Linked DNA regions of Caenorhabditis elegans. The protein of the gene in region 2 purifies or fractionates together with the protein of the main gene of each other region. This does not show direct contact. Each region holds a gene or a part of one and is shown on either strand. Other genes may lie near its edges.

Region 1 (4,459 bases), on a different chromosome or scaffold from region 2:
CCAGAGCTGTACAAAATCTCTAAACTGCGACAAAAAAGACAACGAAATTTCGAAGAAAATCACGGATCTGGACGAACTTTGTAATGGAATTGGCGCATTTGGATCATGGTTTGGATATTGTATTCCAAAGGTATTCCAAAAAGACTAAAAGAGACAAAAACTGAAAAAAAATTCAGATTCAAAATGCCATCACATTAATGGAGTGGCCGTGCTTAAGCCATTGGAATAATGCGGTAAGATTTCTTTTTTACATAAGTTTGAATTTTGCGTGCTGTGGAGCGCATTTGCATTACAAATATATGATTTTTAGGCACAACTTCCAACATGCGAGTATTTCGAGGCTGACAATGAATGCAAGACAATGCCAATAGAAAATATATGCGGCCCCCGTGCCGTCAAAGAAATGCTGGATAATGAGAATTTTATTCGTGAATATTTTGGATGCAACAGGATCTACAAGCCTTCAAATAATTCTAGTAATAGCTTGAAAATCAAAATTTCAGGTAATCCTAATTCGAAATGAAGATGTTTGAAGAATGAAGGCAATTTTGAAACTTTTATATAATGCAATTTTGTGCTATCAACTAACTAAATGTTGACCAGATGACAACTTTTTCCTACTTCTCAACATTTTAGAGATAATCTCTGCAAGCATCTCAACAAGTCGGCCGCAGAAAAAAATGACCAATTTTTCATATATCGTTAAAAACAAGCTATCAGCTCACAAACTATCTCAAAATGGATGTATCGCAAATTTTGAATGCACTTTTTATTTAAAACATAAAGATGCACTATTAGCTAGCCCCTACAGTGGGGCTGAGCTCCTTTTGGGGCTGTGGCTGGTCTCCAGCCCCACTTTTTGACGCCGTCTGCGCACTTTCCGATAAATAGAAAAGAAATTAATCGGCGCAGAATGTGCGCAGACGCCTACCTAGTGGCACACAGGGTTTCGTTCGTTTTTCGCATATTGAATTTGTGGAATAAATATATAAATATAATAAATAAATAAATAATAAATAAATAATAAATAACTATAATAAATAACAGAGACAGTTTTATGATAGTTTGTTAGAATTTTAAAAATAAAATAAATCGTTATGGCCAATGTTTTCTTAATGTCCTGGTCATTTATAATTTCAACCAAGATCCCGGAAATCCAAACAAAGGAAATCGATACATCGAAAAATACAGAGAGTCCGCCCATATCCTGAGTTGGGCTTCGTTTCCCGGTTAAAGTTAAAATAAGGTTAAAAAAAACAATGAACACAATATAGGTGCTTTTCATTTGATAAAAAGGGGATCAACCCCCGCGAATCGGAATGTCGTTTGGATACATTATGGCTGATTTTCACAAGTCATCACTTTGACCTTATCCTCATTCTTCAACATATCCTCCCATGCTTCATCTCCGCATTGCTCTTGAACAACCCGTTGAAGCTCTGAAAACTCGTCAGGTGTCAACCAGCACTTTGGTTTATCCTCTCCAATCGTCGTGTTTTTCAGAGTAGTTACGTCGAATTTTGTCTGAAATAAAATGTTCTAGAGGATCTTTTTCGGAGAAGCTTGTAGGTACCTTTTCCATGCATTTACTGAATGGTCCGACTTTTAAGCCCAAGTCTTCACAGGCGGATCTCATGAACATTGTTCCGAATCTCAAAATACTTTTTAGTAGCTCTGGGATTTCCATTGATTCTACGCAGTTCTGAAAACTTTTAATTTTTTAAATATCAAAAAAAAACTAAAAGTGATGTACCAAATTTTGGGCGTGGCCTCTGATGCTCATAATTTTTTTGGGAGCCGTTAAACGGGCGTGGCCTTTCGTTCCGCCCACTTCTTGGTTGTGATCACAGAAGCTCTATCCAGTAGGCTTCCACGCAGGCGCAGAGAAGCCTACCTCGCCCGCCTTGTGGCGACCAAACCATTTTTCCGGAAATTGGTAAATTGGCAGATTGCCGAAAATTTTGGGCAAATTGTGCTTTTGCACAATTTTTTAAAGGAAATTTCAGAATTTCAATTTCAATCGGCAGATTTGTACGTACCTTATAAATTTTCCTACATATATTTTGAAAAGTGAGCAGATTCTATGAAAATATTTAAAGAAAACGGGAAAATTTTCAAAAAAGCACAGTTTTAAGTGTTTCCGTCTTATGAAAAAATCCCTTTAAAAACTTCCGGCAAATCGGCAAACCGGCAATTTGCCAATGTGCTAAATATTCCTTCTCGCCATTGTGTAGAAAAATGTTGAGAGGCCAGAGGCTGAGGCGGGCAGGATGAAGGCAGGCCCTGAAACCGCGCCTGCCTCCCATGGAATTTTTTTTGGCATTATTTGAAACGAATTTAATGTTCACAAACTACATTTGAGAAAAATTGGAAATCGGTGGCCGCAGAATTTCTAGGCCACCTACTACTTTTGCAGAAATTTTTTGTTGAAAATTCAATATTTTTCGAAACTCTATTTTTCAAATTTTTGCTGAAAAAAATAAAACTAACCGTTGTGTCAATGCACATATGATAAAATGTTTCCAAATTACCAATTTTCACATTTTTGCCGTGTTTCGTAGTTTCCAGCTTCAAATTATTCAAAATATTCTTCATTTTGTTGAGCTTCGTGAGACAATTTTCATAGTTTGTTTGTTGCCCGGAGACAATGGAAAAAACGAAGAAAGTCGAGAGAAGGAACAAGAGAATTTTGGCCATTTCGGTGTATAAATATTGAATAATAACAATTGAATAGCAGAAGAAGAAGAAATGACCTATCGAAAGATATATCCCTCGTCTCCGTGAAGATATATCTTCCCGGGAGATAGTCTCTGAAGTCGGGAAAACAAATATTTTGAGGTCAACGGATTCATATTTATTAGGTATAGAAATATCGATTTTTCCAATGGAGAGATGGGGAAAATCGACTTAAATTTTTTTTGTAGTTTTTTATCTGCCATCTATATTTTTTAAAGGGATATGCCAAATTTGTTCAAATTTTTTTCAGAAAAATTCAAAATTTCTGAGCAAAAGTTAGTGGGGAATTAAAATTTGAAACAACGGAATTTGGTGGAAAATTTAAATCTTCTGTGGCAAATATTGGCGGGAATTTCAAATTGTTTGAGTTAATGGGAGGGAATTCAAATTTTCTGAAACAAAAATTTTGGCGAGTAAATTCAATTTTTTTGAACAAAAATTGACGAAAAATTTTAATTTTCTCAGAAATTTTTTTGCGGGAGCTTGAAATCTTTAAAGAAAAACATTTGCGGGTAATTCAAATTTTTGATTTAAAAAAACTTGACGAGAAATTCAAATTTTCTGGGAAACTTTTTTTTTGGCGGAAAAATTGAATTTTCTGAGGAGAAATTAGTGTTGAATTAGAAAAAAAATTTTTAAACAAATTTCTGAAACAGAAATTGGCGGAAAACTTGGTCACACCACATTTTCTTAGGCCATCTGTGACGTCACTCCTCTTCCAGCCGAGATCAACAAGAGACCACTGTAAAAATTATCTAAAATTTTACTTAAAATTTATTTTTCAAAAATATTAAAAAGAAAAAAATTAAAATTAAAAAAATGTCAATGACCGTGCTGACCTTTCTTATCAAATAATCAAATCTCAACTCACGGGACCACAAATCTTGTTCGGCGAAAAATCAATTATTTCGAAATTTCGACTCTTCACAATGAGCTTGGATATGGAGCACCTCCATGGTGCCATGAATTACCGTGAGTTTAGGAAAAGTTGCCGATGGTTGCTGAGCGATCGCCGAGGATGTTGTCGGAGCATTGCCGCTTCTGTTGCCGGCGTGTCTACAAAAATCAATAAGTGTCATAATGGTTGCTGACAATCTTCAATAACTCCGATTTTATTGATTGCCGGTAGTCGCCGGCGGTTGCCGATAGTGGCCGGCAGCAGCCATTACTTGTAACAAATGGATTTTTTTTTCGATTAACGATAGTCACCGCTGACCGCCGGCAATGAAACTCTAATTTTATTGATTACTGATAGTCGCCGGCAATTAACAATAGTTGCCGCTAAGCGCCGATAAATCCAATTTTGCCGGTTCGTAATAGTTAAAGGCAATGGCGACAGTTGCCGGTAATTATCGATTGCCAAAAGTGCCGGAAATATCAATTTATCTCAATTTCCTTGTTTTTCAGTGTGTTTCGCTGCTGCTGCGTCAATTTCTGGAGCGATCATTGCCGTCGGCTGTACCACCGGACATCGTGAGAATTCGCGTGGTGGCAAAGGAAAATCGGCGAGATCAAAGCGATCGAAACGATCAAAACGAGACAAGAAGCAAAACTCGAAGAGACAACAAAACTCGAAACGACAAAAGAAGATTAAGGTGAGTGGAAGAGTTATTTCTCGGCCACTGTAACAACCATCTTTTCAGAGCAATTCTGCCGCTCCGGCACCACCGGCCAAGAGTGGAGTGCCTGCAAAATCGGCGGAGAAGGCAAAGGAAGGATCGCA
Region 2 (3,108 bases):
TTCAGACAATATACATAATGGGTGTCAGTGGATGCGGTAAAAGTACTGTTGGAAAAGCTCTTTCTGAGAAGCTCAGACGGCCATTCAAAGATGGTGATACTTTCCATTCACCTGAAAATGTAGAGAAAATGAAAGCCGGCACACCACTGAATGATTCTGATAGACTTCCATGGCTTCAAGCTATTAACAACTACGCAAGACTCAATCAAGGATACGTTATCGCTTGTTCTGCGCTTAAAAGACGTTATAGATCCATTCTTTGTGAACATCTTCCCAATGGAGCCAGCGGAAGAGCTGTTTTCATTCTGTTGAATTTAAAAAGGCAAGTAATGTTCAGCGCGCAAAAAAATGTGGTGAAAGAAATGGGCAGAAAAGTGAAAATGGACAACAAACAACTCAAATTCGCACTCGCTTCCGTCCGCTCGTTTTCCCACTTTCACACATTTTCACGCATTCATCGTTTCATTTTTTGCAGGGAAGTTCTTCAGCAACGCGTGAATTCCCGTCCCGGACACTTCATGCCATCTACTTTACTTGATAGTCAGCTGGCTACACTTGAACTTCCGAGTCCCGATGAATCAAATATCGTCACTGTTGATGCGAATAGTGAAAATGTGGATCAAATTGTTGATACAATTGTAAAGACTCTGGCATTGATTTGTGAATGATTCTAGAAATCTAAATAATATAAATAAATTTAATAATTTGTCATAACTGACAAGACAACCAACACAATAAACATTAAACAATAAATAAATACTAAACAAAACAATCTAAAATTAATCCACGTCTCTACTGTGCACGAGATAATTCAAAGGAACCATCGCTTTCTTTTCAGGATCGCGAGAAAGCGACTTCCGCATATCAAAAGCATCTTCGTCCCTATCTCCAGTGTAGTATCCAATAATTTGCCGGTAGACGACATATCCAAGCTTCTTATACAATTCGATGGCGATCTTGTTCGAAACACGAACAAACAGATCGACGAAATATGCTCTACGACTGAAAATTCTTAGATTTTAATAAAATATTAATTTGCCATCACTTACGCTTCAGAAGTACGTTCCAAGAACTCCATCATGTAGGCGGCTAGTCCCAATCGACGAAAATTTGGAGCCACAGAGAGAGCAGTTACATGTCCGTGCCAATTGGTGTCGCGTCCTTCGATTTTTCCCATGACTGAAAAATTAAACTATTTCACATTTATGTTTCATTTATTTTCAAACAAACCATAGGCCATAATTTCCCCGTTTGGATGTTCAGCAACTTGGTAATACTCCGGATAGTTCATCATATAGTGCAGGTAAAATTGGAAGCCATACTGCAAAAATAAATATATTTAAATTTTTTTTATTTACTGAGCAATTTACCGTTTCAGTGTTGATATCCAAGTTCACGTTATTGAACTTGAACATATCCATAACGTCGAATGGCCGGAGAGTTGTCATTTTTACTCGCAGTTCTGCAATATATTGCAATATTGAAGGGTAAATTTAAGTGTTATATTAATCACAAAGAAATTGCATTACTTGAGAGAGTTAACAAATTTTAAATTCGTTATTTGCAAACAAAATGGGAAAATAAATTTGGCGAACGCGGAAAAGAGTTGAAAAAGTGCTAAAACGAGGTGGCACTATTAAAAACGGTTCAAATAAATTTCGTAAAGGGCATAGCGCTGTGTTGTCAGAATTTAAATTATTTTTGCAGCTCGTTGATTTATTTTTAAGCATAAAACAAGCTATTATCAGGCTAATTAAGTTAAAAATTAATAAAAAAGAGTAAAATTCCAAATTAATTTGCAAATTCCTAAAGTACGCAAGTTTAGTGCGCGGTGTTTGCGGACTTGTCCACCGTAGTCCGTTGAAAAATTATCCTCTTTCGTTTTTTGTGTTTCAAAAAATAAATCGGTCAGGCGGTCAGGCGCTCCTCCTGACCGTCATCAAGTACAAACAAAACACTAACAGGAGAAAAAATCAATAAGTGACTAGCAGGGTGAGTATATTGTGTATACCTCTGCTTCTCTCTTCCACTTTTCTCTTTCTTTTAAAGAAATTCCAGTTTTTTTGCTTCCATTTTCACTTTCAAGTACACTATCTAATATACCTCATTTTGTATGCATTCAGGTGACTTGACTACTCGAATGGAAGCGGTTAACTAACAAAATATCAACATCATGCTAGGCTATTTTATGTAAGTTTAAATTTAGGCATTTTTCCACATTTTAAAACTTGATTTATTAAACGAAAATTTAATTTCAGTGTACTTATTCAACCGCTACTACTCTGTATCACAATTCTAGTCCTCTCAATTGTCATCTTCCTTCCAATACTGGTATATTTTCTTCCACGCTACACACAGTTCATCTTCTTTCTCAATTTCCGTTAGTTTTTCTTTTTTATCTTATCTTTTATCTTTGATCTATGTTACCTTGTTAAGGACGTCTGCCGAACACCGATTACAATGATTTGGCGTCGAACAACGTTAAATCAATCGGAAGATCTCTTCATTTGCCTGGAAAAAGTGGAAGGATTGGTGTTTGGCACATTCTGCCCAACAAATTGAGTTTAGAATGGAGAACAGAAGGAAAACATCCGACAGAGAGAGATTTTGACGATATGATGAGGGATTCAGAGAATCAGTAGGATTTTCAAAGAATGAATTCAAAAAAAATCAATAAATTTCAGAATTATCTTCTACGCTCATGGAAACTCGTTCGATCGCACATTCTACCATCGTGTGGAAATGTACAATTTGCTCAGTGATTGTAATTATCATGTCGTCTGTTTCGATTATCGAGGATATGGAGATTCAGAAGGAACACCAACCGAAAAAGGAATTGTTGAAGATACAAAAACAGTATACGAATGGCTGAAGGAGAATTGCGGGAAGACGCCTGTTATTGTATGGGGTCATTCGATGGGAACTGGGTGAGTTAAATTTATTATTTCACTGCAATCAGAAATTTTTAAACTCAATTTTTAAAGTACTGAGGATAATGCAAAAAAAAAATGCTGACTGATTTTGATATCAAAAAATACAAATTTAAGATGGCTTTTTTGAGCATAGCTCTAGTTCACCAAAATTAATAACATTTTTTCTTGAAAAATC

What was found.
Region 1: the proteins of natb-1 (region 2) and Y23H5B.8 fractionate together in Caenorhabditis elegans (co-fractionation; one large-scale study listed by BioGRID). This does not show direct contact.

What each region holds. Positions count from the first base shown.
Region 1 is NC_003279.8:2,545,631-2,550,089, forward strand, and holds Y23H5B.8 (T20D4.11-like domain-containing protein), read right to left. Parts: upstream 2,770-4,459; 5' UTR 2,698-2,769; coding exon 2,491-2,697; intron 1,703-2,490; coding exon 1,574-1,702; intron 1,525-1,573; coding exon 1,336-1,524; 3' UTR 756-1,335; downstream 1-755. Other genes in the region: Y23H5B.3 (T20D4.11-like domain-containing protein), read left to right, coding at 5-130, 177-233, 311-523.
Region 2 is NC_003283.11:7,981,970-7,985,077, forward strand, and holds natb-1 (N-alpha-acetyltransferase 20), read right to left. Parts: upstream 1,463-3,108; 5' UTR 1,449-1,462; coding exon 1,371-1,448; intron 1,322-1,370; coding exon 1,231-1,321; intron 1,180-1,230; coding exon 1,050-1,179; intron 1,003-1,049; coding exon 780-1,002; 3' UTR 688-779; downstream 1-687. Other genes in the region: F26D11.1 (Gluconokinase), read left to right, coding at 6-322, 476-668; abhd-12 (Serine aminopeptidase S33 domain-containing protein), read left to right, coding at 2,174-2,190, 2,259-2,380, 2,437-2,638, 2,685-2,927.